4 linked regions of the Drosophila melanogaster genome follow. The protein of the gene in region 1 purifies or fractionates together with the protein of each later gene. This does not show direct contact. Each region holds a gene or a part of one and is shown in the gene's direction. Other genes may lie near its edges.

The links.
Region 2: the proteins of Phb2 (region 1) and CG14260 purify together in Drosophila melanogaster (affinity purification with mass spectrometry, with the first as the bait; one large-scale study listed by BioGRID). This does not show direct contact.
Region 3: the proteins of Phb2 (region 1) and CG5174 purify together in Drosophila melanogaster (affinity purification with mass spectrometry, with the first as the bait; one large-scale study listed by BioGRID). This does not show direct contact.
Region 4: the proteins of Phb2 (region 1) and Uxs purify together in Drosophila melanogaster (affinity purification with mass spectrometry, with the first as the bait; one large-scale study listed by BioGRID). This does not show direct contact.

The regions. Positions count from the first base shown.
Region 1 is NT_033778.4:18,815,770-18,823,935, forward strand, and holds Phb2 (prohibitin 2), read left to right. Parts: upstream 1-3,697; 5' UTR 3,698-3,755; exon of another isoform or gene 3,756-3,851; 5' UTR 3,852-3,863; coding exon 3,864-3,996; intron 3,997-4,426; coding exon 4,427-4,773; intron 4,774-4,835; coding exon 4,836-5,069; intron 5,070-5,271; coding exon 5,272-5,349; intron 5,350-5,414; coding exon 5,415-5,514; coding exon of another isoform or gene 5,515-5,522; exon of another isoform or gene 5,523-5,720; coding exon of another isoform or gene 5,721-5,740; exon of another isoform or gene 5,741-6,070; intron 6,071-6,206; coding exon 6,207-6,331; 3' UTR 6,332-6,481; downstream 6,482-8,166. Other genes in the region: CG15097 (uncharacterized protein), read right to left, coding at 7,191-7,404, 7,468-8,166.
Region 2 is NT_033777.3:27,262,248-27,268,275, forward strand, and holds CG14260 (uncharacterized protein), read left to right. Parts: upstream 1-3,209; 5' UTR 3,210-3,239; coding exon 3,240-3,701; intron 3,702-3,749; coding exon 3,750-4,037; 3' UTR 4,038-4,176; downstream 4,177-6,028. Other genes in the region: woc (without children), read right to left, coding at 1-240, 308-1,145; CG14262 (uncharacterized protein), read right to left, coding at 2,168-2,428, 2,482-3,159; l(3)mbt (lethal (3) malignant brain tumor), read right to left, coding at 4,256-6,028.
Region 3 is NT_033778.4:18,419,777-18,428,229, forward strand, and holds CG5174 (uncharacterized protein), read left to right. Parts: upstream 1-3,155; 5' UTR 3,156-3,508; coding exon 3,509-3,959; intron 3,960-4,092; coding exon of another isoform or gene 4,093-4,095; intron 4,096-4,192; coding exon of another isoform or gene 4,193-4,231; intron 4,232-4,350; coding exon 4,351-4,475; intron 4,476-4,549; coding exon 4,550-4,710; intron 4,711-4,830; coding exon 4,831-4,890; intron 4,891-5,095; coding exon 5,096-5,300; intron 5,301-5,563; coding exon 5,564-5,671; 3' UTR 5,672-6,187; coding exon of another isoform or gene 6,188-6,229; 3' UTR 6,230-6,445; downstream 6,446-8,453. Other genes in the region: PIG-O (phosphatidylinositol glycan anchor biosynthesis class O), read left to right, coding at 6,953-7,099, 7,158-7,801, 7,859-8,042, 8,112-8,453.
Region 4 is NT_037436.4:8,178,215-8,185,895, forward strand, and holds Uxs (UDP-xylose synthase), read left to right. Parts: upstream 1-2,708; 5' UTR 2,709-2,826; coding exon 2,827-3,469; intron 3,470-3,536; coding exon 3,537-3,718; intron 3,719-4,005; coding exon 4,006-4,506; 3' UTR 4,507-5,155; downstream 5,156-7,681. Other genes in the region: Nmt (N-myristoyl transferase), read right to left, coding at 1-113; mthl7 (methuselah-like 7), read right to left, coding at 462-660, 724-898, 963-1,214, 1,276-1,452, 1,628-2,300; ERR (estrogen-related receptor), read right to left, coding at 5,305-6,213, 6,270-6,828, 7,353-7,375.

The DNA.
Region 1 (8,166 bases):
GGCCGAGATTAGAGTGGAGTGCAGTGCTCTTGACATTAGGGCACTTTCACTTTCATCCATCCAAAGGGGCACAATTAGAAATGTTCTCGGCTGCCGCCCAGTCAGCAGGTGTCGATTGAAATTCTTAGTTATGCATAGTTCATGCCTGGCTGCTCCAATGGAATTCGTTTGGGATCCCATCTATTGTCGCTATATGGCGATTGTGTTGTTTGTTTTAAAGACAATAACTGGAATTTCTTGCAACTATTATTATTATTACCACCACGTCGCGTACTTTGTACACAGATATCTCATTGTATCTTCGACTTTTTTCTTGAGACGCACATCACATTGCCAAATTTATGGGCCCCGCAAATGAAAGTTCGATCTAATGGTGCGTCAGCAGAGCAAACAAGTGTCTTAGATAGCTTCGCGACAGTTGGGTCGATGTATCTGGCAGATATTTGCTCACATGCCCGTCTCATGTCCCCTGGAAATGAAAACAAACTGATTATCTTTAGTCGCTAAACAGTGGAAGCAGACAAACGCGTGCACCAGAATGGTTGTACTAAACGATCTTAAGTCCGCACGTATAACGTGTCCCATCTAAAAATCGGCACCAGGCGGGGGGTTGGGACTACGGATCTCCTCCTAATACACTTGTCATGATGCCGCTGTTTGGGTTTCGATCTCATCAAACGAGTTACGACGAGTCAATGAGAGCGAAGTTATGATGCTCGGAGTCACGAATCGATTGACTAAGTTTCGTTAAGCTTTTTTGGCAGGTTTTGGTAGACTTTGATACCCTACCGACTCTATAGGAAATTCACTGGGGATTCCAAATTTATCAAAAGGCGCTACACCGAATACGGTTATAAGTCGCATCATATATAACACGACAAATCTCCTTTGAAAGCCAATGATTGTGTCAGTAAAACGCTGAAGTAGTATCACATTTCATGCTATCAATGTGACTGTAAAATTTAAAATTTCAATCAATAGAGATTTTGGTATGATTTATATGTTTTAGATTATACCTTTAGTAAAAATTCTATGAGCTTTAAAAAAGCAAATAATAATTAGTAGACTACCATTAAATGGACTGCCTGAAATTTATCCCCATAAAAATCCCCGTAGTGATCGCAGAATTCCCCATAATATCATTGTTTACATCCATTACAAACATAGAGAGCTAATCTAACTTTGGTTTTAGTAAAGCTACTTAACCATTTACCCAATCGGGCTTATGCATTATTGAAATCTTAGCTCGCTGTACCGAATTAATTGAGTTTCGATGGCCTAATGTTTTATAGATTCACCCATATATCGTGCTTGGCACAATAGGTTCGCCACAAAGCGCCAAAAATATATCCGTTAATAGATCCATCGGTTGCAAAAATAGCTACCTGTCGTATGCAAATCGATTATTGGTTTATGTAAATTGGAAAGTTCTGCCGCACAGCAGCTCTTCCGTTGCCGAATGATGCAGCATTTTCCGATCCCAAACCGAATTTCCATCAACCCCCCCCCCAGCGAAGTGATCACGCTATGCTCCACTGGCAAATCCGTATGATATCTGTGTTTTTGTTTCACCTTTCCGCTTTTCACGTGTCAGGTGGCAGAAGGGGCGGAGTATTGGTTGAAAATAATTGCCAGTCAATGCAATTACACATCCTCCGTCGGATTTTATCGGGCGGGTGTTGTTCGACCAATTACAATCCGTTACACATTTTTATTTGCAGCCCAGCGAAATGAGCAGTTGTTCTAATGGATTACAGATTCGTACTATACTATATAGACTTTCAGTCTGCATCTGATTGCACAAGTTTGCCGCCGGACTGGTGATGAATGATGCCCGGGTTCTTAATATGCAAAACGTGCTGTTTGGCTTGAACTTGGCCAACATGTCGACTTTAGTTCCTCAATACGAAACTAAAGGCTTACACCCCCTCAAATTCAAGTTCAAGTGCCTGTCGTTCAATGGAAAACGAACGAACTGCCGCCAAATTGGCAAGCTTTGTTGGCCCCGTCAGTGAGCACATAATCACATAACTAAGCTAAGTACGACCTATTCGATGTTGGCCATACTAAAGTCGACCGATCGCAATTGGCCGTTCGAGCGGCCCGTTGCGCATGTTAATTGCGGGCCAATAGCCGATTTTGGCTCAGATGACATTGACTAGGGTACTTCCACCCATTTCCATTGTAGCCCACTCTAGAACTTGGGTATTCCGATGGTGAGTTTCTGCGGTCTTTCAACCGAACTCATCAGGAATTAAGTGCACACGAAGAAATTATGACGTATTCCGCATATTTGATTAATTATCAACAAATTTATAATGATTATTCAGTGCAATAGTCAAATTTATAGCATCTTTCACTTGATTTTTTCTTTTAAGAATTCCGCATAACTTAAATATTTTTTTTCAGTGCTGTGAAGCTTAAAACGTAGATTTCCTTGGGGAATTCTGGAAGTGCGAATACGAACGTCATCGTCAGATATATTTTTATGCAAACTTTGCACTTCGAATGCCAAATGAACCCAATCGAATTGGGTTGTCTTAGGTTCGCAGTTTAATTTTCGACGTCAGATCGAAATTTAGCAGCCATTAGGAGCCACCTGTTAGCATCTTAACGTGATGTGATCAAAAGAAAGGTGGCAGGTGCGTCAGTTGACCACCCGAAATTTTGGCTTTTAGCGCGGCTAATTCGAGGAATTTTCCTCGCCGCTTGATGGGGGAGGCAAAACGACATCCATCTAATCTAATCGATGCTGTCCCTAAATTAATTACGAGTCCATCAGTGGCTAATTTGCGACAAGCGCCATAAAGCAATAAGGCCCAATCAGGGGGGGGACTAAACCATAAATACTAATCTATAAACACTGCGCAGAGGGTAAATCCTCAAATCAGATTGTCAAAACATGACGAAAACAGAGGCCACCTTTTGATAAGGGGCACAGATAATTTCTCCGGCCGATTTAAATTCCTTTCCGCTCCAGCACACTGGAGCTATTCGCTTGAAATTGTAATTGTCACAAATTTACAAAAAAAAAAAAAAAAAACACAACATGTGAGTTTAAGTGCTGCAACAAAAACAAAAAGCCTCAGGCATCAGGTTTCATCATCTATTTATAACTTTTGGCTACAGCGTTAGGTGATTAGTGGTAACGCACCATGAGTTATTTTTTTTTGCCATATCTTTTTTATGTTTATTTTAATTTACTTTTACGGTTATGTAAATATGTTTAATTTTAAAGCTAACTAGCACATATATTCATTATTATATTATAATATATATTTTTTTCTTTTACTTTCGTATAACTGATTTGGGTAAAGATTTGAAATTTTAAACCAAGCCGTTATCAATACGCCTAAAATCGCGATCAAGCCGCACAGAAATCGCACTCAAAACGCGCCAAACGTGAAAAACGCGCCGTATGAAATCGCGTGCAAGCCGCAATACTCATTTATCAAAACCAACGATCAAACCTTATTCTATACAAACAAACATGTGCGCAATTCGTTCGAAAATTCGTTTTCTAATTTATTAAAGAAATTGCTGAAATACTACTATACAAATGAATGGAGTAATACACTTAACTAACTCGGAAAGTTTTTTATTAAAAATTAAAATACAAATAGTTGTTAGCAAGCACACAAACCGATAATAGCAAAAATATTACATTTTTGTATCGATTTAAATAACGAATGATTATGTGACAACGTCACATACGGTCACACCGAACCAAACGTGCGTGAGAGTTTCCCAATTTTGTACGTGGAAAAATCATACGTTTATTATCACAAAATCTATACAGAGTGCTTTGCGTTTACCGACATTTAATATATTTTTTAAATTCCTCGTCGCAGAAGACAAACAAGATGGCACAGAGCAAATTGAACGATCTTGCCGGCAAGCTGGGCAAAGGTGGTCCGCCGGGATTGGGAATCGGACTGAAGGTCCTGGCCGCCGTGGGAGCAGCCGCCTATGGAGTCAGTCAGTCCCTGTACACCGGTAAGGATAAAGCCGATAGGATAAAGCCACCGATTTGAGGGATAAAACCATAAACACGGGCAATAGCGGCATGTGCACATAACCTCAAATGATTACAGAGTGCATAGAGATGTTGCTTTGTGTGTGTGTGTTTCTGCTGTTTCCCGGATTTCATAACTTCCAATATGATTTGCAATATTCTTATTAGACTCTATCTAATAAGATGCATGTGAGGAACATGCATTAACTTATCAGTTATCCTCACTTTAATTACTTGTTATTGTTGGCCAGTCCCACATTTCATCTTCCCATGATTGCATAACAAACTCCATTATATTTGTGTTTACTTTCGGGTCTTAAGTCCAAAGTAATTACATATAAGTTATATATTTAACTATTTACTATACTATGTATGCAAACCCACTCACTTGATTAATTCTCCTTTCAACAGTTGAGGGTGGTCACCGCGCCATCATCTTCAGCCGTCTGGGCGGCATCCAGAGCGACATTTACTCCGAGGGACTGCACGTGCGCATCCCCTGGTTCCAGTATCCCATTATCTATGACATTCGCTCGCGTCCCCGCAAAATATCCTCGCCCACTGGCTCCAAGGATCTGCAGATGATCAACATCTCGCTGCGTGTGCTGTCGCGCCCCGATTCCCTGAACCTGCCCTATCTGCACAAGCAGCTGGGCGTGGACTACGACGAGAAGGTGCTGCCCTCCATTTGCAACGAGGTGCTGAAGAGCGTGATTGCCAAGTTCAATGCCTCGCAGCTTATTACCCAGCGTCAGCAGGTAGAAATCTTCATACTAACCATGGTTAATTCAGTTTGTATATAGTAGTTGTCTGTTACTAGGTATCCCTACTCATCCGCAAGGAGCTGGTCGAGCGCGCCCGCGACTTCAACATCATTCTGGACGATGTGTCCCTCACCGAGCTGAGCTTCGGCAAGGAATACACGGCGGCCATTGAGGCCAAACAAGTGGCTCAGCAGGAGGCACAGCGGGCTGTCTTCTTTGTGGAGCGCGCCAAGCAGGAGAAGCAGCAGAAGATTGTTCAGGCTGAGGGAGAAGCCGAGGCTGCTAAAATGATATCCTTTTACAAAACACTAACTAGAACATTTTTTCCCTTTTACATCTGACTAAAAGGCTGTTAGTATGTTGTGAGCTGGAAAAACTGTATTGTTTTTCTGTGTTCATCGTTTATTTTTGGCCTTCTTGAAATATGTAAATAGGGATTATGCTTACCCAATTTATTGCCACCTACTGGTTCTTCTTAACTGATATGTTTACTTAGGTCTGGCCGTGAAGCAGAACCCAGCCTACCTGAAGCTGCGCAAGCTGCGTGCCGCTCAAAGCATTGCACGCACGGTATGATTAATCTTTTAAATCTCTTCTGATTTAAAATTAATGAAATGCTTTTCCCCTATCAACAGATTGCCAGCTCACAGAACAAGGTCTATTTGTCGGCGGATAGCTTGATGCTTAACATCCAGGACTCTGGCTTCGATGACATGACCGAGAAGGTTTACAAAAGTAAATAGCTCTCGTTTTGATTAACAAAAAGAGTTTACTTTTAAGTTGAAAACACTTGTACTTTTGGTTTCAATCACATTGGCCAAAACTTAGACATAGCCTTCATAATTGAGTAATTTCTAACGCGTTTTCCGTACTCCATCTCTCTTCCTATTTGCCGCACAAAATTTCGTTCTGTTAACGTTTCACCCGATCGCGCAACCCAGTAGCCGATGACCTGGACTAGGAGGCGATCCACATTCGTTGTTAATTAATTTTTATTGAAATTCCTTCGAGCTAGAGCCTAAGTACCGTTTAGTTTTAACCACTCCCAAGCGGCGCATTGGCTTCATTTTTTCACGAATTATCTGCCAAGTGCTAAGTCCTTGTCACCCGGAGGCAGCTTCATCCCACATCCGTTCACTGGGTGCCAAGGATTGAAACACGGCCAGGCATTTTGTGGACCAATGATACCAATGCGGGCAAATGGCCGCATCAGCATTTAACTTTCCATGTCCCATCATCGAGAGTCACGTGAAACGGAAACTGAAAATAAATGCGTACTGAGAACTGTCTGAAGATCGTTGTGTCCCCCTTTATAGATTGCAACTGATTTCAGCTTCAACTGCCGGGGCACACCACTCGTGAAAAAACGAAGCGGCGTCCCCGTGCAGCGATCCCTCCACTAATCCCAATCCACCCAATCATTGCAGTTGGCACCGGTCTGCCCAAGGACTGGTTGGACGCGCGGAAAATGGCCTCGAAGGTCGCCCAGCCGGCGGAGAAGGAGAAGAACGTGGGCAACGTGGCGAGCAGCATGGCCGAGCGGATGATGTGATCCACACCTTAGCGGGGGCTTCCTGTCAAGATCCTAGTACAAAGCGCATACAGAACAGAGCCAAACAGAACGCCGACTTCGTCGCATACGATTACGAAACATTTACTTATCGTTTTAATTGCGTGTATAAAATACATAAGAATAGTACATAAGAGTGTATACAGTATATAATTTAAGTGTATAGAGGTTTATGTATGTAAATTGTAGGCAGATTAGGTTGCTTCTCCAGGAGTTGTGTCCCCGCGGCATTCCCATGTTGTGTGTGTGTGAGAGATCTTGACTAGAAACATGTGTGTGTGTTATGGGCATGCATTCACTGCGATGTTCATCCTTGATGTTGAGCAATCGAACCACCGCCCGGGGTCTCCAAGTCATATAAATATTCTTAAGTCTATCCATAACGAACTCGAACAATCAAATTCCTGCATTAGGCGCGTGGGGTTAGCTTTGTATGTGAGTTAATTTGTAATTGTTAGGTGGCTTAGAAGCGACGCGACATGGACCAGGATCAGGCCGTCGCCGGTGGCTTTCCTCCTCCGGATCCGCTGGCCCCGCTGGTACTTCCGCTCTCGCTGCCACTGCTGCTGGCATTGCTGTTGGCCCTGCGGCTCTCGGCCAGACCGGGTGTGTCCCTCCGATGACGACGCAGCGTGGAGCTAGCCGATGGCGCGGAACTACTCAGAGCAATGTTGGCCGTAAAGGCAGCAGCCTCCGCTCGGCTCGGAACGGTTAGAGTGCCTCCCACGCCCGATGACGAAGGTATGACTCCACCGGAACCGATTCCGTTAATGGTGCTGTTGCCATTGCTAGTGCCGCTCGCTGCAGCTGCGGCGAAGGACTCGGTTATGCTGGCCAAGGGTCATAAGTTCGTCGTCTGCACCAGTCCACGCTCCAGATGGAAGCACTCCAAGACGGCGGCGCCGACGGAGCTGCGTCGAGCCACCATGGCGTTGACCACGCTCCACTTGTTTAGCCGCGTATCGTATCGCTCCACGGAGTTGAGCGAAGAGCTGCCATCGTTGCCGCCCAAGGCGAAGAGGGCACCCTCCACCTCAACCACTTCATGGGTGGATCTGGAAAAGAACCGAATTATTAAAAAAGGGAATGAAGTTGGACTATTTATGAGGTATCCTTACCTTCGCGAGTGCATTGCTGCGATGGGTTCCCAGCTGTTCCTGCGCAAACTGAATCGCTCTCCGCTGGACATGCACATGGTGCCATCATTACCACCAATGCAATACAGATGCCCGTCGGTGGAGGCGACGCCGCAGCTGCTCCTGCGTGCCGACATGCTTGGCACCGGTTGCCAGCGACCCACTCTGGGATCAAACCGCTCCACGCTCGACTGGTAGTTGGTTGAATCGAAGCCGCCCAGACTGTAGATGCAATTTTCCAGCACAGCCAGTCGGCAGTACCTTCTCCTTGTGCTCATCGCCGGACAGGAGCTCCAGATGCCTGTGAGCGGATCATAGCGCTCCATGCTGCTCAGACAGGAGGCGCCATCGTAACCGCCACAAACGTAGATCAAGGCATCGTAGGAGCAGATGCCCAGACAGCTACGTTTCGTACCCATTGGGGTGATGTTGCTCCACTTGTTGGTCAGAGGATTGTAGCTCTCCGCCGTGGCCAGATCACTGACTCCATCGTAGCCGCCGACCACATACAACTGCTTGTGCAGGGATGTTACTCCGGATCGAGATCGTCGCCACAACATTGGTGCCACTGGACTCCAAGAGTTAGAGCGCGGATTGTACACCTCGCACTCGTTGTGAATGGCGAAGAGACTGCCTCCTCCCACCGCAAATACGTAGGGTTTCATGCCCTCCGGACGACGC
Region 2 (6,028 bases), on another chromosome or scaffold:
CGTCGGTGGCGTCAACGGCAGCTGCACTGTCGTCTTCTGGATCGGCGGCGGCATCTGCCGGGGACTTTCTATCGTTATCGGGTGTCTTGGCTTGCCGCTCCTCGGCTTCCTCCTCTTCGGCGGCCTTCTCGGCATTCTCGCGGGCCAGTTCCTTCTCAGCTTCAGTCACTTCCGTTTCTTGATCATCGGGAATAAGGCAAACATCTGATTCCTCTGGCTCCAAAACATTTTCCACTGTGTCTATAATGTAAATAGTTCATTCATTTAGTCTTTTATAAACATGCATCAAAGAAGTACTAAGACTTACCATCGCCATGTTCGGCCTCACCAGTTTCCTCGGCATTTTCATCCACCTGCTCCGATTCCGCATCTCCTTCTGCATCCGGATCATCTTCATCGGCGGCCGCATCTTTCTCCCGTTCATCAGGATCTTGGCCATTTTCCTGCTCCTCTAAGCTTGTGTCCACCTCATCTCGGCCCTCCGGTGGCTCTGCATCCTCCGCCTGGTGTGAATCTGCGCCCACGGACTGCATATCTACATCATCTGTCGCCTCTCGATCCAGAGCTGCGTCGTCTTCTGCTTCCTGCTCAGCTTCACCTTCTGCATCCACCTCGCCTTCATCCACATCCATTGCTTCGGGTGAAGCGGGACCGCCGTCCACAGCATCTGCTTCGGCGGCCGCTGCCTCCACCTCTTCCGCAGTGGCCTGGAGGGCATCAGTCTCCTCCTCCGCCTCCTCGGGCTCTTCCTGTGGATCTACCCTCACGGCTTCTGTTTGTGGCTGCTCATCCTCACCGCCTTGCGGCTCCTCGTTGGGCGTTGGCTCCTCGGCGGGCTCCTCCGCATCCACGGGATCAGCTGGTGTACTAGCCGCCTTATCCCGCGACTGGTTATCATCGGCGTCTAATGATCCCTCGGAGATCTGTTCGAAGTCGTCATCCGCCTCCTTGGAAGGAGGCGGTTTGCTTTCCTGCGCAGCTGCATCCTCCGCTGGCGGCGAGGCGGGCGTATCCAGAGTTTCACTGGCCGCCGGAGCAGTCTGTTGTCGATCCTGATCCTGTTGTTCCTCCGACCTGGGGGTGGCCGACTCCGGTCGCGCATTGGAATCGGCGCCGAACGAGTCCAAACTGGATATCTCCTCCATTTCGCTGCTTGATTTTTTAACCGACTTTCGCTGTACGTTTGTTTATATAGACATGAAAACTGCAACAAAAGGAAAACAAACAACAAATGGTTAGGGCTCGTCTATCGATAACATTCGCGGCGCGGCGGACTATCGGCTGGCCAGGGCCCCACACCATTGCCGCCTAAAATGTGTACACACACACGCACAGGCACACCGACGCACACACACACACACTGAGCCCACGGTACAGTGCACGAAAAAACAAAACATGCGCCTCCAGAGAACAAAAAAAGTGGGGAAAAAAGGAGGAGTGTGTCTGTATGCGCCGCTCTGCCAGGCAATTAATATTACTGCACTTGCATTATCTTTTTTGGCCGCGTTGCATGGGCGGCTTTTCCGTACTTTTTTTGCTGCCTTGCCGTACGGTACTTCGATAATCCGCAATCCGAGCGCCGACTTTTTTTTTCGGACAGCACGAGTTTGTTGTGGTGAGCGCGTCTCCACAGGCGAATTAACTGCCTTTCACCGCTGCGCGTGCGGGCACATCATTAACGGTCGGTTCACGGTACGCGCAAAACTTTTCATCAATTACCAAACACCTTTTTGCACTGTGCAATTTCTCGCTTTCTGGCCACTGTGTGAATTTTCGGCTTTATGCGAGTAAAATGGCGCACTAGTGTACCAAATGCGGCCCTCGCATAACGCGTTCGCTTCTTGGCTGGTATCTGCCGGAAAATACCGAAAATGGCGCATAAGAAAATACCGGCGTGAGTGGTGCAACCGGTTGGCAGCACTGCTCGTTTATCTTTTTGAAAAATGCTTCTAAAGTTTGGATCGCTTTTGATCAATAGGAAATTATTGAAAACTACAACTTAAATATAGACTGTCTTTCATCTAAGCTTCCCCTTAGATGAGCTTCCAGTTTGCCATATGCAAAAGATACCCAATACAATGCTAATGAGAACTGATATTTTATTGGCTTATTTTTTTTAAATTTTTGGGTTTTATGCGCGAAGCTTTTGGGAATTCCAAGTAGTTTTCTAGTTTTGATTGATGAATCCCTCGGCGTCCAGAAGAACATTGGGGAAATACTTGATAATTTTGGTGAAGTGCGGGAATTTTTGCGTGTTGGCGAATGTAATCTCATTGATCTCCTGATACTGCTTTAAAATCGTGATGAGTTCATCGGGAGGCACTGCATCCGCCACCAGCCAGTGCTGGATGGCGTAGTTTAGAGCATAGACCGGGAGTTTCATTAAACTGGGTTCGTGGATCAATGATGCGCCTTCCTCTATGATTTTCTAAAGGATAACTAACTAAATTAAGGCTCCATTTTATATTCCAATCTACTAACCTCGATGCAAACGCGCTCCACATCGATGATGTTATGCCGGAATGCTAGGTCGAAGGCAGGAAAGATGCCATCCAGAGGCAATTCCTGCTCCTTTAGTTTCTCAGCAAAGGAGCGAAGGAGCTCCGGCATGTTGTACGCGCAGGACAGGATGAACATATCCCCCACCAGCTTCAGCTGGACCAGCGGCGAGGTCACCTCGAAGGTGTATATGAACTCCAGGAAGATCTCCACGCTCTCGGGCGAAACCCCATTGATCTGGAGTACGCCGTTCCAGTCCTTGTTCTGGTACACGTCCTGCTCCAGTTTGTCGGAGGCAGTGGCCAGGAAGATCCGATGGCAGCCAAATTTCTTGTAGCACACACTGACCGCCGGCTCATCGGATTGGGGGCAGTTGCTCAGGACGTGCACCTGGCAATCGGCATCGGCTCCACTGCGAAAGTATTCCAGTCTGCGGTTTCTACTCGTAGCGCGTTTGGACCCATCACTCGGAGAACCCAATGGTAAATTCTCCTCAACATCCGATGCAGCTGTGGTTCTGGGCACAACGAGTTCCGGCCTCAAGTTCTGGATCCCTCCCTGGTCGTTCGCCTCACCCTCCTCCTCCTCCTCCAGGTCGGACCACCGATTGTTGCTTCCCAGGTGGGCTTTGCCGGCGGCCTCCTTCTCAGAGTCTGACATTCCTGCCAGGGAAACCCTAATTTCGAATTCCAAATTTTGTGCTATGTGAGAGCAAAGCCTCCAAAAAATCCCCAGTCACTATGAACTGCAAGCTACGCCGCCTGGACCTGTTGCGGAATGGCCAAAAGTCGGACTGCGAGCTCCATGTCTCGCAACCGGACAAGTTGAAGGAGGGCAAGCGTTGTCCATGCATTTTCCGCTGCCACCAGGTGATGCTCATCTCCGCCTCCGCGGAGTTCGAGCGCCTGATCAGGGATCCCGAGTTCCAGAAGAACAAGCGAGTGATCAGCGTGGACGACGCCTCTCCCACCGCCTACGAGGCGTTGCTCCTCTACATCTACACGTACGAGGTGTGCAATGCGGTGACCATCGACATGTGCGGTGACCTCATGCTGCTGGCCGAGCGCTACGAGATGCTGGACTTCATCGACTGCTACATCGACAAGCTGGCCCACCAGGAGTGGCCCATGGAGGTGGTTCTGCAGGTCTTCCACCTGGCCAGCGAGCACCACCATCCGGCACTGATGGATCTCGTGGCGAAAGTATGAATTTCCGCACTTTTATCTCGCTTAATCCCCATACCATTCCAGAAAATCCTCCCCGTAGCCACGCAGGTGCTCATGGACAACTCGTTCCTCAAGCTGAGTGTTAAGGAGCTAAAGGCTCTGATGATAATCCTGAAAAAGGATGGAGATCTCTCCGATCACGAACTGCTGACCTCGCTGAAGAACTACCAGGATGTGAACAACCTGCGCTACGAGGACATGGAGCAGTTCCAGCAGCTCGTTGAGGTAACCCAGTTGTTCGGTCACGTTCTCTTCGAAGTGGATGGCACCATAGTTGTGCCCGAAGAAGAAAAACCTTCGCCGGAGGAATAGATAGGTTTGCTTACCACCCAAGGAAATAGACAGGATGGTGTACATATCTAGAGGGATCATTTATTGGATTAGGGATCGAAAAACAAACAAAATCGAATTCATATCGGCTTAAAGAATAAATACTACCTATAAACATAATACCCGAATGGGCCGAGGCCGGTGCAACAAAATAATCTTATAAATCAATCAACGGAAGCGGATGCCTGGTATCCGGAGTCCTAAGAGGACGTGCGCAAGGGCGTGCGCACTTCCATCGGCACCATCGCCACATCGCCGTCGGATTCACAATCGCCATCCCCATCGGCGTCCTCGTCAATGACCAGGCAGCTCGGCTTAACGCTGAGAAAGTCATCGCTGTCGAGCATCACATCCTCGTCGTCATCGTCGTCCCCGCTCTCGGACAGCTCCTGGTCGTGATCCGTCTTGTAGCCGTTGGTTTGGGACTGCTCCGGCAGCTGTTTTATCGCAGAAACAGGTGTATCCATCTCCCTCTGAATCGGACCAGCAGTATTGCTCTCCAGTTCGATGTTTTTTGAATCAAACTTGCAGACGACCGCGATGCGCAGATTCAGAATCAGGGAGTAGAGCTTCACGGCCGGGCCCACCTTGAGTTTCAGGTACGTATCCAACTCCTTGCGCCCCAGCATCAGCAACGCCCTGCCGTCGATGTCCTGCTCGAAGATCACCTTGGCAATGTCAGTGGAATCCAGGGCACGCTCTATGTACTCGCACACATCCCAGCTGGTCCAGTGGAGTGGATTGGTTCGCACGTCGTCCAATTTGAAGGCGCTGTTGAGCTGCCAGAGGCGATAGTTTGGCAGGAACTGTGGTCCATAGTCCTTCACAAAGGACCTGGCTATGGCCAGGGAGCGTTCATCCGGCACCTGCTCCGCATCCTCCTCCTTCTGCATCTGTTTCTGCTTTTTCACAACCTTCTCCTCACAAGGAGACGTCTTTCGCTTGGCTTGCACCACTTCCGCGACCTTCGGGTAGACAATCTCTTGTTGGGAGTCCTCCTTAATGGCTTGCTTGGCCTCCGAACAGGCACGCTTTGTTTTCTTCGCCCATCCACGTCTGATATTCTCGGGGGCCACACGCGGCGGTTTCACCGTTTTGGAGCGCCACTGACGCCAATTTTCCGGCGCATACGGACAGCATTCCCGCAAAGCATGCACGTTGAGGTTGAAGCGCTTGGCGTTGCCAAATCCCCGACATCCCTCCACATCGCAAGGCATCACGGACTTGGGCTGAAGATAGCCAGGCGGGGTTTCCAGTTCGTGCGAGGTGGCCTCGCACCAGCCGATGGGGTGCAGATCGGGACTGTCGTCCTCCAGCCAGAAGTAGTACTCCGTGGGCCAGCAGTCCAGGTGCAGCTGAACCCGGTAACCCTTCCGCGTCACCACGGTGGCCGGACGAATTAGGCAGGGATTACGCTGGTCCACCACCTCCAGTTTCATGCGTTCCTGGTACTCCATTGGCTGGCGTGGTGTGAACAGCTCCTTGGAGGCGGCCATTCCACCAACCTCTGATATGTAGTCATCCCAAATGAAGGCAGACTTCTGGTAGTCCGGCGGAACGATCAACTGCTGGCGTCCCTCGTGCCAACCGCAGGGATGGATGTACGGTGAGGTGATGTGTACCCACAGGTCGTAGCAGTCATCCCAGCCGTCGAAGTGGACTCGAATGCGCTCGTCCAGAATATCCGTCACTGTGGCCACACAAATCTTTCCCGTATCGTTCAGGTCCTCCGCCTCGAGATGCATGCCCACAGCGAAGCCGTTGCGCACATCCATCTGCTGCTGCATATTCAGATGACCAAAGAGCGCCCGCGGAGCTGCCTTGCCGCCCGTTTTCACCAAATAGCGGCTCCAACTGAAGCGCTCCGAGTTGTAGTCCTTAGGCGCCTGCAGAACGCGTGCTGTCTCATCGCACCAGCCTGGCGGAAAGATGTCCTGCGAGTCGGCGTTCACCCAGAAGTCGTACATGGAGGA
Region 3 (8,453 bases), 400 kb from region 1:
ATGAAATTGCATTTATACAACATATAGAATACGAGAATCGAAACAGACAATTGACCACGCCTTCAGTTCCGTTCCCCGATGTGTTGGCCAAACCCCGGCCACTTTATATATAAAAAACACTTAATTGCCAATTTCTTTTTATATAACCATTCTTCATTGCAACACATAATATTCTAATTAGTTGAAGCTCCCTAAAAGTAAGCAGAAAGTTCAGCAAAATGGTTTGTTAATTGAATTAAAACTGACTAGCGAAGCACGTTCAAGAACGAATGTAATTTTAAGCATAAAATGTTAATTATTTACATTTACCTTCTATCTACCCCCCGTTTTGATTACACCATACTCAATTTTCGTATTCGGAATTTCCATTTAAACCCTTCCCAATTAAGTGATGATTATTATGATTTATGCGAAAGTAAATGTTAAATGAACGTTGATTGTATTGTACAAACGTTTCTTACGTTGCGGGGCGAGAGTGGAAGTGGAGATGGCGATTTATTTGAACAGCAAATATAAACCTTACCTAAATTTAATAACTATATTACCCGCACGCCTGCTCCTACTCCTACTCCCTAATCCTCTAGCGTTCTACCATACACACAGCCATGATACAGAACCCGAAAAACACACACACACACACACCGACTCTGTTCACATTTCAAAATGAGTATCGACATTTTAATTTTGTGCAATCCCCTTGATTTATATTAAATTGTTTTCGACTTATATTTTCCACTTAAATAATTTTCTTTGCGCCGCGGTGTAAATTGTCAAAAGCAAGTAAAAGATTTGGAACTCTTCCAGTACTTTGTACGAGTATCGGGTGATGGTTTTTCAGTTTTCTCAACTCTACACCGCGCAATATCTGACAGTTGAAACACAAAGTATAAGAAAAATTATTAATTTTTTACTATTACTATTCAATAAAAACAAAAAACCATATAAAACCAATAAAAATCGTAAACGAATTTTTTGCTTTTTTTTTGCAACATTTTTATTTTGTTTCACGTTTGTTTAGTATTTCGATTGCTTCTGTTAAAAAAAAATATGATAACACCAAGAATAACAGACCTGATATTGTAAATTTTTAAAAATATACATACATATTTACAACAACTGCATTAGTAATTCTAAGAACGTAAAAATACAAACTATATCAAATGTATATATTTTCCTATATTAACGGACAAAATCAAATGTAAGAGTCGACGGCCAAATGGCAATTGCTGTCTGCAAAACAAAATATTTTCATTAACAATTCGATTTCTAACTATAATTTTCAACCCAGATATAGCAGATACAACCGTATGTCTTATTTCTTTTGAAATACAAAAGTTTTAAACCGAAACTTTTCTGTTTGAATAAAGGCGCGATCTGGCAGCTCTAGGTAGTGGTGTCACAGCGTCGATAACTAACTTAGTTTCTCACCGAGCTGCAACAAGTTTAATTACAATCGATAACGAAGATTGGAGCTTTTAGTGAGTAAAATTTGACCCATTTCTGTTGTTTGAACGTTTATTACGCATTACGTATTTACTTAAGCGATTTTGTGAATTTTTTGTGTGTAGTTATGTGCACGAGAGATGGAATTTTTGACCGAAAGCTGCTATCGATAGTGACATTCCTTCGATTTATTTTAGCAACCATCGATAGCTAAGCAAGCGAAACAAAAAATTATTTTCAACTTGAAAGTTTTGCGACAAGTGCGTGCAGTTGGCATCGAAATAGTTAACAAAATTGCCGCAGACTTCCGGAGACAACGCCGTAATGGAGGACCGTAAGTGTGTGGCATACGGACGCAGTGCATCATTGCAATTCCAATGCAGCGGCACATGTTTCCGTGGGCTCTTGTGACCTGGGCGATTGGGACACCTAAGACCTTTCGGGTAATTCGGGTATCATTACTATTGTAGGACTCTGATTCAGCAGCGGCTTTGCCAAAAGTTTTGGGGGACTTAGAATACACAATGAGTTAACCTTGGTGCGCTGGGAATCAGCAGATGAGTCATGGTTCCGATTTGCGTAGGGTGAAAGGCTTTCCAACTATTCGGATTACCGTGGAAGTTCTGCGACATGCCATCGATGGCAATCCGTTTGGTGGGCGGGGGTCAGGTTCTTTGTGGTGTAAGTATTGCATTCTCGGTTTCCGACGTCCATGCATACGTGGCTTTTAGAAGCGCAACATCCGCAGGGCGGCTATGATATGCATATCATCTGAAAACGCCTCCTCCCACTGAGCTTATCACCATGGTGCCACTATAATTGTTCGGAGCTCTGTTCCCCCACCGAAACCACTTAGTAATTGGCTTCCACTTGTTGACTTCTCGATGGGATTGGGCCTGCCACAACAACAGGCACTTCTGAGCAGCAAGAACTCGCAGCAAACCAGAACTAGCTCACATATATATATATATATATATATAGTGTAGATATAGGGTCCATCAATGTGGCACAGTGGCTTTGTGCTCATACAGTGCTTGATGGTCGGAGGAAGCTGGGAAAAATCGGAAAAATCCAAACTGGTAATTGCTATTTAGCAAGAAGCTAAATTATGAATTATTTTCCTTTTTTTGTTTGGCTCCAACAAAGCGATACAGTTATGTACAGTACGTTTTTGCAAAGAAAAACTTTATTTATAGTTATATTTAAAGTTCCTTATCATAGGGTTTTTCAATTTTTAAAGTTGTTCATCTCCTCACAATTGTTTACTTAATAAATTTAAAAGGTACAATTAAAGAAGAATATTATTCAATTAATAAATTGAAGTCTCGGTTTATCAAAGCTTTTTGACTGATAAAATAATCATTTTAGCTGCAATTAAATTAGACACATATATGTATATCTAGTGTCTTATCAAAGCGTACTTATTATTTATGCAAATATTATTAGCTTTATAACTTTCCCATGCTTATTAATTTATAAATTAAATGAAGTGTAAAGTTGGTTACTATAGAGCTAATGTATTTACGTAGCTGTAACTTTTAGTCAAGCTCTACTGTAGTCTTGCTGGTTGCTACTGCTGCTGCTGCCTGTTGCTGCCCCTTTTGTTTAGCGCTCTTCTTGTGGCATTTCTCGTCTTCGTGCTGACACGAATCATCAACAAGCGGAGCCAAGCGGCCAACCAATCCACATCTACCAATTTCTAAGCCGAGATCGAGTCAGTTGGCATTTGGCTGTAGACGAGCGTGGATGGAGCAGGCCCAGAATCGAAAGCGAAAACGAAACTGAAATCGAAACAGAAACAGAAGAACCACCACAAACCAGCTGCGATCGCATGGGGAGAGGAATTTATGTGGAACGCGGCGGGCCAAGAACTGAAAGCTCAGCAAAGAACGATCGAAGTGGCTGAAAGCAGGGCCAAGAAAAATGTGCTCGCTGCTGACCGTGGAAACGTGATATGTGCTTAGGATTGGGCCAAGACAATATGAGCCTCCTGCGCCAGCAGCTGCCACGTTCAAAATAGAAAGTTGCTGCCAAAGATGAAAGAGAGCGCCGCTATTGCCACAGAATGAGCGAATCGGAACCGAATAGCCTGGAGTTCATTGAAGACCCCTATCTGCCAAGCATTGATGATCTCACCAGCACACCGTCACTGGATCTGGAAACCAATGATGCCGTCTTGGACTGGTATGGCGATGGGCAGGAGGAGAGCGAGGCTGAGCTATATTTGCGTAATCTGACGCTAGACCAGATATTCTACGATGTGGATTCGGACTACACCAACAGCCTGGAATTGCAGGCAGTGGAGGCGGACTTCATTGCCGCCAAGTTGGCCAATCAAGCGCCATCGTCTTCGATGGCCAAACGCTTCCGCTTGAAGTTCTTTGCCAAGCGAACCATGCGCGACGTTAAGGTCACGTTCATAGACTTCTCCAAACCGTATCTGGCCAAAATATCAAACAGTGATAACTACAAGAGATTCCTCAACATTGGGCATAGAAGTAGAGGTACCAAATTCGGTCAGTGGGGAGGGGGGTTGGTGGGCTTAGGTCGGGTCTTTGTTCTGTGGCATTCGCTTTTCCACTTTCAACCATGACTAACCAGACTAACTTCTCTGTTTCTTTCTCCTTTGCCTGCCTTTCGCCTCGTCAGTTTGTGAGTATTAACAAAAACCCAGATCTAACCAATTAACCAACTCATGTCTTTGCAAATTGTACATACTCGTATATACAACTAAATTCGGTGTATTCAGCCTATGACAAAGTCTTTGAGGAAGTTGCTTTCAAAGGAGGTACTTAAACACTACCCGCCGACAACATTGAAATTAAGCTACAGTCCCCACACAGCACCCCAAGTTTTAATGTTCCCTTGGATTGGCATATATTTAATGGCTTTTTATTTCATGTTCAGATAATACAGCCAACCTGTCGGAGCCAGCATCTCCAGCTAATTCTGTGGCATCCGCAGAAATTGCCGCCGAGTTCGCTGCGCTTTCCGTCGAGGAGAAGGAGCAGCGTCGGGCTGAGTGGAGTCAGGTAAGGAAGTTTTCAGTTTTACGATCATAATTTGATTACTCAGCTCGAACGCTAACTTCTACTTCAATTTCCAGGAGCTCGCCCGCGTTGAGGAAGAGATCAATACGCTGCGAACTGTCCTAGCCTCCAAGACGCGCCATGCCTCCGATCTCAAGCGCAAGCTGGGCATCACCGTCTGGAAGGAGGTGACGGACGACGTGAACCAGGGCCTTAAGAACCTCAAGGAGAGCACTGTGTAAGTCTATGAACCGTTCGCAGTTCTGCTGGGCAATTAACCCGACTAGACAGTTTTAATTTCTAACCATGCTTTTTGTTTCAAACTCCTGTTGAAACGCTATAACGTGTATTTATTTAGTTACCAATCGGTGGAGCAGAGCGTGGGCACGTTTACTAAAACGGTGTACGAGGCACCACTGTAAGTAATTGGGTTCAGGCTGATTTTTAATTGGGTACTTTTGGAGTTACCGGACTAACGCCGTGTTTCACGCCACTTCCTTTAACACAATAACCAACTCTCGCCTGTTTGTAACTAAAGCGCACCTATGTTTGCCCACTTTGTGTATGGAGGAAAACTATCGAGATGAGTAACTAATGTTGGATTTATTTGTACTCTCCCCTAGATACCAACGCACTGAGTCGGTGCTAAAGTCCACGGGCGAGAAGACCGCCTCGGTGTTTGGCAGCATCACCAGTGGCATTTCGTCGAAACTGTCGCAAATGAAAAACTCCGAATCGATGCGTTCTATCGAGGCTTCGGTGGGCTCTGCCTACGAGAACGTTAAAGTAAGCTATGAACACAACAATTTTATGTGCCAATCTCATGCGGTAACTACTATTTTATTATATATCTGTCTTTACACATCTCTCATACTGTTGCGATTCTGTTTTGGTTCCCGTCTAACTAACTAGCCACTAACTAACCAACTAACTAACACTAACCACACATCTTTCACACTTGCTCACCCACTATAAACGCACTCTGAATTGGGATACTTCGGTTGATTTGCTTGCTTACACAACGAACTACTCCTTGCGCAAATGCTACTGCACCTCTACTACAATCTGTTCGGTTTTCTGTTCTATTGTAGACCAAGGTGACATCCCGCTCGGGTTCGGTGTCCAGTTTCCCAGATGCCCTGGACGAGAATAACACATCCTCGGGTCTGAATTCACCCACAGACTCACTCCCGAAATAGATTTCGGGGCAACTGCAAGGCCAAGCGCGTCGATAATGTGGAGCAACCTATACTACATACAAACAGACCCACGCACCCACTCTATTAACTTATTTAACTAAAGCGAATTGTCGTGTCTGCGCACTAACAACAGGATCAGAATTAATTTAACCAGAAATCATATGTACACCTGTGTCGATACGGTTTATATAATACTTAATATAACTAAAATCTGCGCGTCAAAAATTTGCCAATGGGAGCACATATTATATGCATCTATTTGTATTTGCCTTGGAGACACCATCAAATTGCATGACTTGTTTAAATTTAAAGCCACGGAGGATCGAAGATCCAAGGGCTTGCTGCATTCGTTTATATAACTATCAATCTAAGTGTACGTTTAAAGACTAAACCACATTGGATGGTCCACCCGATGTCATTCCCAAATGTTTCTAATACTTAGTAAAAACATTAGAAAATCATGCATTGCGGTTAAAGTGAATATACATTTGTTTTACGCTTTTATTTCTTCTCTAGGCGTTGAGTTCCGTGGTTAGATGGCGTTCCCTAATCCGTTGAAAAGCCAATTCCAAATTTATTTAGTACTAAATATTTGTGTTACGATCAGAGCTTGCGTGCAAATAACGAAAATCCATTGGTAAACTTAAGTGGATGTAGTCCGTACTGCTGAAGATTGAGAAAGAGACGAAATCGCACCCAATTTGTTGCTAATGCTGATCAAATTTGCTATATGTGTATGAAATCTTTGAATAAATGCAAAAATTTTTGCCCCATAAAAATAGCGATGTCTTTTTGATAAATGATGTTTGGGAGTATATGTGTGATTACCTTTTCAAACTTAAACTACAGCTAATGAATTAAAAAAAGTTAATTTCCAATTTCATCTGTCAGCTTTAAATATCCCGCCAAAAATTATAATAAAGTTGACAACTCTGATTTAACCCAGGGATCAACGTAAAACAGCTGTTTGCTTTGACGAGGTGGCAACGCCATAGAGGGTTCTTGCATACTTCTCAATTTTTTCTTCAGGCCACAAGAAAATCTTTAGATATGAGGAATTTTAAATGAAAACAGCGAGCAAACAGAACGCATCGTGATGCCGGAAACCTAATCAACCACTCCGAAGTAAAGTGCAATTAAATTACATAGTTTTATACAACTGAAAGCGGCTGGCCAGCCGCATAAAGTATTCGCCTACACCAGCATTGTTCTAAATGCTAAAAAGTTTATTACTCATTAAGCATTTGTGTGCCTAGTTAGTTAATTAATCGCAGCCGAAAGATGAACTTGACGTACTTGTTCGTGCTTATTTGGCTGGCCTTCCTCATCAGCAGCGGCGTGATGCTCTTCTCGCGGGGATTCCTATTGGCCCGGGTGTCCAAAACGGAGACGAGCACCTGTCGCAGGTTGTCCACAAATCCCAATGCTGTAAGTACTAGGTAATGAACGAAATGGGATGCATTTCAAATCCTTTGTCCTCAAACAGGAGTACGTACTCACCGATGAGGTTGTGAACGAAATCTTTAAGGATGTCAACGCCTCCTCCAATCTGTGTCTTCCGCAAAAGTCGAAGGTTATTGTCCTGGTTGTGGATGCACTTAAATATGAATTTGGCCTGTACAGGGCGAATGCTACGGATCCTTTGCCATATGAAAACAAATTGGTGGTGCTCCAGGAGCTGCTGCAGCAGAATCCTGACCACGCCCGCCTAATGAGATTCCGAGCGGATCCGCCAACCACAACGTTACAGCGCCTGAAAGGACTCACCACCGGCAGCCTTCCCACATTCATAGACATTGGCTCCAATTTTGCCTCACCGGAGATCAACGAGGATAATATCATTGATCAAATAGTCAAGAACGATCTACCAGTTGTCTTCCTGGGGGATAGCACCTGGACGGATCTGTATCCTCATCGCTTCAAACGATCGTACTCCTATCCCAGTTTCGATATATTCGATTTGGATAGCGTGGATAATGAGATATTAAAACACCTGCCCAAGGAGCTGGAAAGTAAGGATTGGCAAGTGCTGGTAGCCCATTTTCTCGGCGTCGACCACTGCGGACACAAACACGGACCCATGCACGAGGAAATGGCGCGCAAATTGGGCGAGATGAACGAGGTGATAAGGTAGGCGGCATCACATTTATTGGTAACCGCATATCATCATGTCCATCATTCATTTAGATCCGTGGTGGCGGCCATGGACAACGACACCACGCTGCTGGTGATGGGCGACCATGGAATGACGGCTTCCGGCGATCATGGGGGAGACACCGATGACGAAACCAACGCTCTGCTGTTTGCCTACTCCAAGCAGCACAGATTTTATGGCAATGATTCGGGCTCAGATAGCGAAATGCTGCAGCAGGTGAGATAAGACAACGTTTAATCACGGCGCGTCACGTCACAGTGATAAGCAACGATATTTGCTTTCCAGATTGATCTGGTACCCACGCTGGCCACCATTCTCGGCGTCCCAATACCGTACTCCAATCTAGGCCTGGTCAACTTCAACATTGTACCCGATCTGCGAGTACCGCATTTAAACAAGTTTCAGACCCTTTTGCTTCATTCCTGGCAGAATGCCCAGCAGATCTATCGCTACTTCTTCCAGTACGCTTTGGAGAACAAGCGCACATTCAACGTGGAACAGATGGACCATCTAGAGACTGAATTCATACTCCTCACCCACCGAGTGCAAACCGTTTACAACGAGGTTGCTTTTAAATCTTTTGTACGTGACTTGAACACCAATCTGCGGGACATCCTGGGCACATGT
Region 4 (7,681 bases), on another chromosome or scaffold:
ATATTTAAGCCGGCAACAACCTTTTCGAGCATTGCCTCCGATGCGTCGGCCACCTCCTTGGCCTTCTGCTTTAGCTCTTGACCCGAGAGGTCCTCTGCGTTTTCGTTCGGCATATTTTGCACTGTATTTCTTTTTGAACAGTAAAGCAAATTAAAATTGCAATGAAATCGCAAAACTACAAGCAGAGCAGCTGATTTTTTTGGCGATACCTATCGATGTTTTTTAAAGAATCGAAAGTGGCTGGAGAATCAGTGTTACCAGAGGGTGGCGAAGTGAAAAGCTTGTCGCGGTGACCTCTTGGCAGTTTAAAGTACATCGTTTTCTAAAACTATATTTATTTATTGAGTTCAATAAAATTCAATTCAATTCCTTCGTTCAGCAAAGGATATTAATAAAATGAGGGGCTTTAATTGTTTAAAGCTTTAATTGTAAACAATTATTAGAATTATATAGAAACAAGCTTAAGAATCCATCATTAGAGTCCATGTGCTGCGCTTCAGGACGAGCAGAACGAACAAAACAATTCCAAACGCGCTGTGAAAATACTCGGATATTATCCCGACCCATTCCCAGAAAATGTGGAGCCGTGCAGAATACGGAATGACATTGAATATCCAAGTAAGGCCCATCACGATGGAGAGCCGCAGGAACTGTAGGTAACTATGTGGATAATACGGCAAGGATAACTAGTTTACCAAGGTCCAAGGTTTTATCATATCTTACGTCTGGCTGTCAAAGTTTATGCAGTTAATCCTTCCCTCCTCCTCATTTGTGAACTTATTTATACCCCCCTTCACTTTCCTAATGTAAATGGCTGTCAGGGCGAACATGGCGACATTGAAAGTGCTCAGGGCCAGCGACGGTCCACTTATATAGATCCAGACGGATGGGTGCCAATCTGATATGGAAAAGCAATACGTAACCATGGTAACGATTTAAAAGCAATCGCATTGAAAGTTTACCTTTGACCGAGCACCGAATAAAACCGACCAGAGGCAACCAGTTCCATTTACTGGGATCGTTTTCCCAAATCTGATTAACTATATAAATACTTCCCGTCATGATTGCGGCTGTGCTCCAGACGAAGGCGTTGTACCGCAGGAACCGATAGTTAGGGTCGACTCGATTGAGCGACGTCAAGACTTTCCACGTATGGTAGCTGATGACGGAGAGCCAGAGGTTGGAAGCCATCCGGAAAAAGTGCGAGCTGTAACCTGCAAGAAGTCAACGATATAACATTTAAAGCTTCCAGAGATATCTCCAATTCGAACTAACCAGCTGGAGAGCAAATGCCATTCAATAGATTTAAATGATCTAGTATCATGATCAAGCACTGGATAAACCTCGAAACTATACAGCATACAATGCACTTGCCAGTAACATTTCGCAGCTTCTTAATGTATAGATATACTGCGATTGTTAGGACAAAGCATATCATTGTTATAATTAGAACTGAAAAAGAAAATATAAGAAATAAAAAACCAGCTTATTGTAATTAAAAAACTTGCAAAGGGCACACAGAATGCAGTCAGCAGTTTGCACACCAATAAGGAGTTATTTTCGTTTCTTTCTATATAGCTATGAAAACGATATTGATGACTTTTGTTATAAATAATAATTGAATTACTCTCTAAGGATCCAGGAGATATGTGGCTTGTGCAGCGGTGTCGTATTATCCACATGGACTTTGGAAAATCCGAATCAAAGTTGTGCCGGTACAAGCAGTAGTCCTGTTTTTCCATGAAGAGGTCAACGGTAACCCAAAATTTTCCATCCTGGAACCAAACTATAAGTCCACATTTATTGAAGATTTGAATGCTAACCTCTTCTAAGAAATAGTTAAAGTCGCTGATGTAAATCATTTCATCACAATCAAAGAACTCATCTCTGATAATAGCCATATCGGTGAGTGGTACTCGTGCCTGTAGGTCCATGTATGTGAAGTATATATAGGGTTTGAACCGGGCGAGCTCCTCTTTGAGACCATCATCGCATTTTCCGTTGGCCAAAAAGTTCTTGGCTGGGCAGCAGATTCGAATACAGGGCCGCACGCTGCAAACACAGGCCCTTAAATGCTTTTCAATCGGCGTAATCGAACCGTCCCCAAACTGCCTGAACTCGTAGTATCCAGTTAAGCTAGCAGGAATTTCGATGTCATCATATAAATACGAATCGTTTTGCCTTTCAATGTATGAGATATCAACCGTGTCGTAGTAGTTGCACCCGGGAATATCTGCATTTGAGTTGTTCGTAAAAATTAAAAGCAGAACTGTACAGAAAATCACCCAAGGAAGCCTCATGCTGAGCACTACAACACTTGGCACTAAGAACTTTGCCCGACTGGCGATCGATGCTCATCGTTGGCAGTTTAAATAGCCTTCAATAGCCGTTTGGGCAAACACTTTATTCGGAAAGTAGTCCCTGCTGACCAGCCTAAGAAAGCCCTCAAACAAATTTAGTTTTCAAACTCATTTTTTGGCAATTTCCGACCTTTTATCGTTAAAACGAAAAATATTCGTCCCTGGGGAAGATCACCAACAAAAATGTCTAATTCATTATCAATTCATTATAATTTATAATCCAAAATCAAAATGTTCGCCTGTCGATACTTTTGATGTAAATTTTAAAATTAGGCGGGAGCTTTTCCCTGGCGTTAGATTATTAATCCATTTAGAAATTCCGTTTGAGCCATCTGGCCACTCTGGCACCTCCTGATAACGCAATTGTATTGTTTATATAGTTTCTAAAGCCGAACGAGAATGCAATGTGGCGATATCAGTTGCTGATAAGCACTGGAACCCTGCAGTACACAACCCATAACCGACGATGACTGCCACCAAAAAGCGTCTGAAGATCGTTGCAGCCATCTCGCTGCTCCTCCTGCTCCTGGTCTACCTTTACCGAATGGCCAGCTTCTGCCCAAGCGGAAAGGTCGCCGTTTCCGTTCCCGGCGTCGAGGAGGTTCAGGCCAAATGGCCGCCCACGGAAAGTCCGCTACAAAGGAGCCTTCAGATGGCGTACGAGGAGCAGAGCTCTCTTATTCGAGAACAAAAGGCCGAACTCCAGCGCACAAGGGAGAATTTGGCCAGATTGGAGGAACAAGTTCGTAGCCTCCAGACCAGCACACCGCGCAAGTATCCGAAGGTTAAATACCTGAACTATAAGAATCGCAAACGCATACTAATTACCGGAGGAGCTGGCTTCGTGGGCTCCCACTTGGTCGACGATCTGATGGTCCAGGGGCACGAGGTCATCGTGGTGGACAATTTCTTTACGGGACGCAAGCGAAATGTCGAGCACTGGCTGGGGCACGAGAACTTCGAGCTCATCCACCACGACATAGTGAATCCGCTTTTCATCGAGATCGATGAGATCTACCACTTGGCATCGCCAGCCTCGCCACCGCATTACATGTACAATCCGGTGAAGACCATCAAGACCAACACCATGGGCACGATCAATGTACTGGGTAAATATTTATAATATCAATCAAAGAAAATAAGGATTACACCTAACGAGTATATCTTTTTTGAAAGGTCTGGCCAAGCGCGTGATGGCCAAGGTTTTGATAGCTAGCACTTCGGAAGTGTACGGCGATCCCACAGTGCATCCGCAGCCAGAAACATACTGGGGACATGTAAACCCTATTGGACCGAGAGCCTGTTATGACGAGGGAAAGCGTGTCTCCGAGACGCTGAGCTATGCGTATGCCAAACAGGTAATACCTTTAGCAATATATATACTTTTTTGGATAACCACATTCCTAAGCCAGATCGAAAAAAAAACATTAAACTAGCTGAGATCCAGAAATGTGGCAGATTTTTCCTGTTTCGATCGCTAGTTGAGCATTAAATGATCTCAATTGGAATGCTATTAATTGATGTTCCGCTCGGTTGGCTGACGCGAGATAAGATTTCCAAGCGCGAGCACTGACCACATTTTTTGATCTTGGCCAGCAATCTGGGAGTCAAATTAATTGCTCTTTAAATGTATCTGTATCGACAGGAGAAAGTGCAAGTCCGAGTGGCGCGCATCTTTAACACTTATGGACCGAGAATGCATATGAACGATGGACGAGTGGTGTCAAACTTTATACTTCAGGCGCTGAGGAATGAAACCATTACGGTGTATGGAAATGGCAAACAAACGCGCTCCTTTCAGTATGTTTCGGATCTGGTGGACGGAATGATAGCCCTAATGGCATCCAACTACACACAGCCGGTGAATTTAGGCAATCCTGTGGAGCAGACAATCGGCGAATTTGCCGAGATCATCAAGAAACTGGTCGGCGGGCCCAGTGTGATAAAGCAATCGAAGGCCATGGAAGATGATCCGCAGCGCAGAAAACCGGACATAACTCGAGCCCGCCAGTTGCTCCATTGGGAGCCAAAGGTTCCCCTAGAGACTGGACTTCAGCGGACCATCTCCTACTTCCGCAACGAATTGGCGCGTAGCGATCGCTTTCAGGAAAGCTCCAACAAGTACTTTGATACACATACACCGTAGAATTAATTGGGCTTAGCTCTAATTGGTGATGATGGAACGTCTCTAGTCTGCAAATGTAAATATGACCATCGTTAGCACTAATTGTAAGCCCTCAAGGACCACAGAATACCTTTGTCATGGTTAATTTTTTGAAGTTTTGCGATATATCAGCCTATGTATGGATTAGGAAATAGTGATGTATAAATGCGATCAAATGCACTGAATTCTAGAAAACTAATTTGAATTTGTTTAGGAAAAGAAAATCCCCAAAGAATACAGAACTTAGGGAGTATGGAAACAACAGTTACAAACGGTTTATTATTCACGGACGACATTGCTATTCTTTTGACCGCATGTGTACCACATAGACACAGAATCACTGGGTTACATGACACTTAGAAACAGTATAATCCATTGTATTGTAGAACCACTATCGTATTTTAAAAGTGCCCACAAATTCATACGTTACATCAGAAGGTTGCGGCATATACATATATCAGAACCAGTGAGAATTGAACAAATTATTGAAGATCTGTGACTCACAACTTTAGACACATAACACCTATATGCGCCTTTAACCAGTGTAAGCACACCCCGATTCTAGAAGATAAGTAGGGTTTTCCAGTTGCTGTAGTTGGTAGTCCATTAAAAGAGATTTTTTCTGCGAACTAATCTTACCCGACAAGTATTTTACTATTTATATACATGGCTTATCCTACGCTTAATCTACTCTAGTATACATCCATATATACCTAAGACTATATTTGCACCTTTGCTTATCAGCTAGATCAACTAGTTTGGGCGCCCGCATAATCCTTTTCACCTGGCCAGCGGCTCGAGCATCTCGAGGAACAGTTTCTTCATGGTAATGACTTCATCGCGTGCAATTCCACGCCAAAATCTTCGCAGGATATCATCCGCCTGCCGCAGCGAAGGCAGCAAAAGCAGCAATTGTTGCTGATGCGACACGGCCGACGAATGACGCAGCAAGTAGACCACATCGTTTAGAGAATTAAGAATCGTATCACGAAATGCGCGCAGGGAACTCTGATCATCCAGCAGAATGTCGCAGTTGGCCAGCAGGAGCGCCTTTAGCAAGTAGTACTCCTCCCTTCGTGGCGATATTCTTTCCATGCGCTGTGCGATCTGGACGCAGTGGTAGTAGAACTCCGTGTAACCGCACTCCTTGGCCAAATGTTCATCCATCCAGACATCCGTGGCGAAGCATAACTTGCCATTGAACGGTAGGGACCGGAAGGTCAGCTGGAGCGTCAGGATCTCTGCCCACGACACCTGGAGAAGCTTCATCTGGTCGTTAAGTGGCAGATCTATAAAGCCAGGTATCTGCTTGGCCCAGCCAATGACGCTGACCAATTCCTTGTCGTAAATATCACTAAGGACGCTTAGTATCTCATTGGGATCATTGTTGTTGTTGTTTTGGAAAATGCAAGTCCCATTGGGCGTAACAACGCTGGACTCCAGTTTTATGCTGCCCGAGGAGGATGAGGCCTCATCATTAGTTATGCTAGTCGTGTGGACTTGCGGCGGCGGCGTTTGGACGCTCAAGGCATCCGGCTCATATGAATTGAGCACCTCCAGTATCTTGACATCGCACAGCGAGGTGGTGTTGGATTGGTATAGCAGCTGCATAGTCTGGTAAGAGTTTGATACAGGATTCCTTCGGTACTTCTGCCGTCCTCCACGAACTCGATCCAAGCGCACACCCTCCTGAAAAGTTAAAGCGATTAGAGTTTAGGAACTTTAACTCGGGACTATGAAATTACCTTGAGCATGCCCATTAGTAGACATTTCTGGAAGCGACACGCTTGGCAGGCCTTGCGTCTCCGCTTGTTAATCTCACACTCGTTGTTCGCCGGACACGTGTACTCGATGTTGCCTTGGATGGTGCGTTTAAAGAACGCTTTGCAAGCCTCACAACTCGCCACACCATAGTGGAATCCACTGGCCACATCGCCACAAACCAAACACAATCGGCGGAGCTCGTCCCTGACGGATCCCGATCCAGCTCCGGCACTCGCATTGGTCGCATTTCCACCACTCGTACCACCACCTCCTCCTCCGCCATTGCCGCCACTTGTACCACTTCCTTTCAGACTATCGCCATCATTGCTTAAGGATACATTGTGCAAATCGCAGGATAGAGAGGTCGTCGAGCTGCAGAGCTGCCTTTCCGGCGAAACCGAGGGCGAGGATTTCAGGCCGTTTGTGCCACTCTGCGTGGCCGTTGACTTGGAGCTGGGACTAAAGCAGGACGCCGATGGAGTGTCCACCTCCTGTTTGATGTGCAAGATGCTGACGCCGTCGGACATGTTCGTGCCTTGGCTGGGTGAGAAAAAAAGAGTTGCGGATAAAATAAGAAATATGTTTCAACAAGTTAAAGCCTTTGATTTGAACTTCAAGAAAATGATTGATTAGATAGAGGACTCGAGATACAAGGTTTAGGATAAACGATATGGTACGATATGAGGATCAACCCAAAATGCGGAGAGAAATGAACAAGTAAAGAGTTGAAATGTGGGAAAAACGTTCAATTTCGCCAAATCACCGCGATAAAGATCGCTTTAGTTTAATGTCAAATAGAACGCGCTGCACAGTGGTAAACATAGAACCCAAAAACGGGTACTTTACAATTCCAACGCTGTTATCTGGACTTATGAATGAGTAGTGCCATTGGAGCCCACAGTGCTGGGCTAGTCGCATGAAACCTGGTCACGGAATTCTTAATGAATGCAAAACGTAATTGTAATTAAGCCGCGCAAAAACCAAAACAAACGGCGGTCCGTCCAGTGCAATTCGAATGCGATCCTCGGATTCACAAGTGAACGTATGCAAGCTCTATAGCTTACCCTTCTCCCGCGTAGAACTTCATCGGTGGTCGTGGAAAAGTACGGGACAGAAATGAACTGAAATCCGAACCGCGCGCCGTGAGTGCGATAACAGCACTGTGCGTGGAGTACCTTCCAGCTGAAGGTACTACAAATCACGACGCACAGTGCTGACATTGATTAGGCAAAAGCGAAGTAAAATAAAATCGAAAAGGGACAGTGGTGGAAGCGAAGCTTTAATACCCTAACAATTGGCAACCAATTGGAATGCCAGCACTCTGACCTCATTATCAGCTAGGCACTGAACACGAGTCTATATTTAGACTAGTCATATACAATATACATAATCT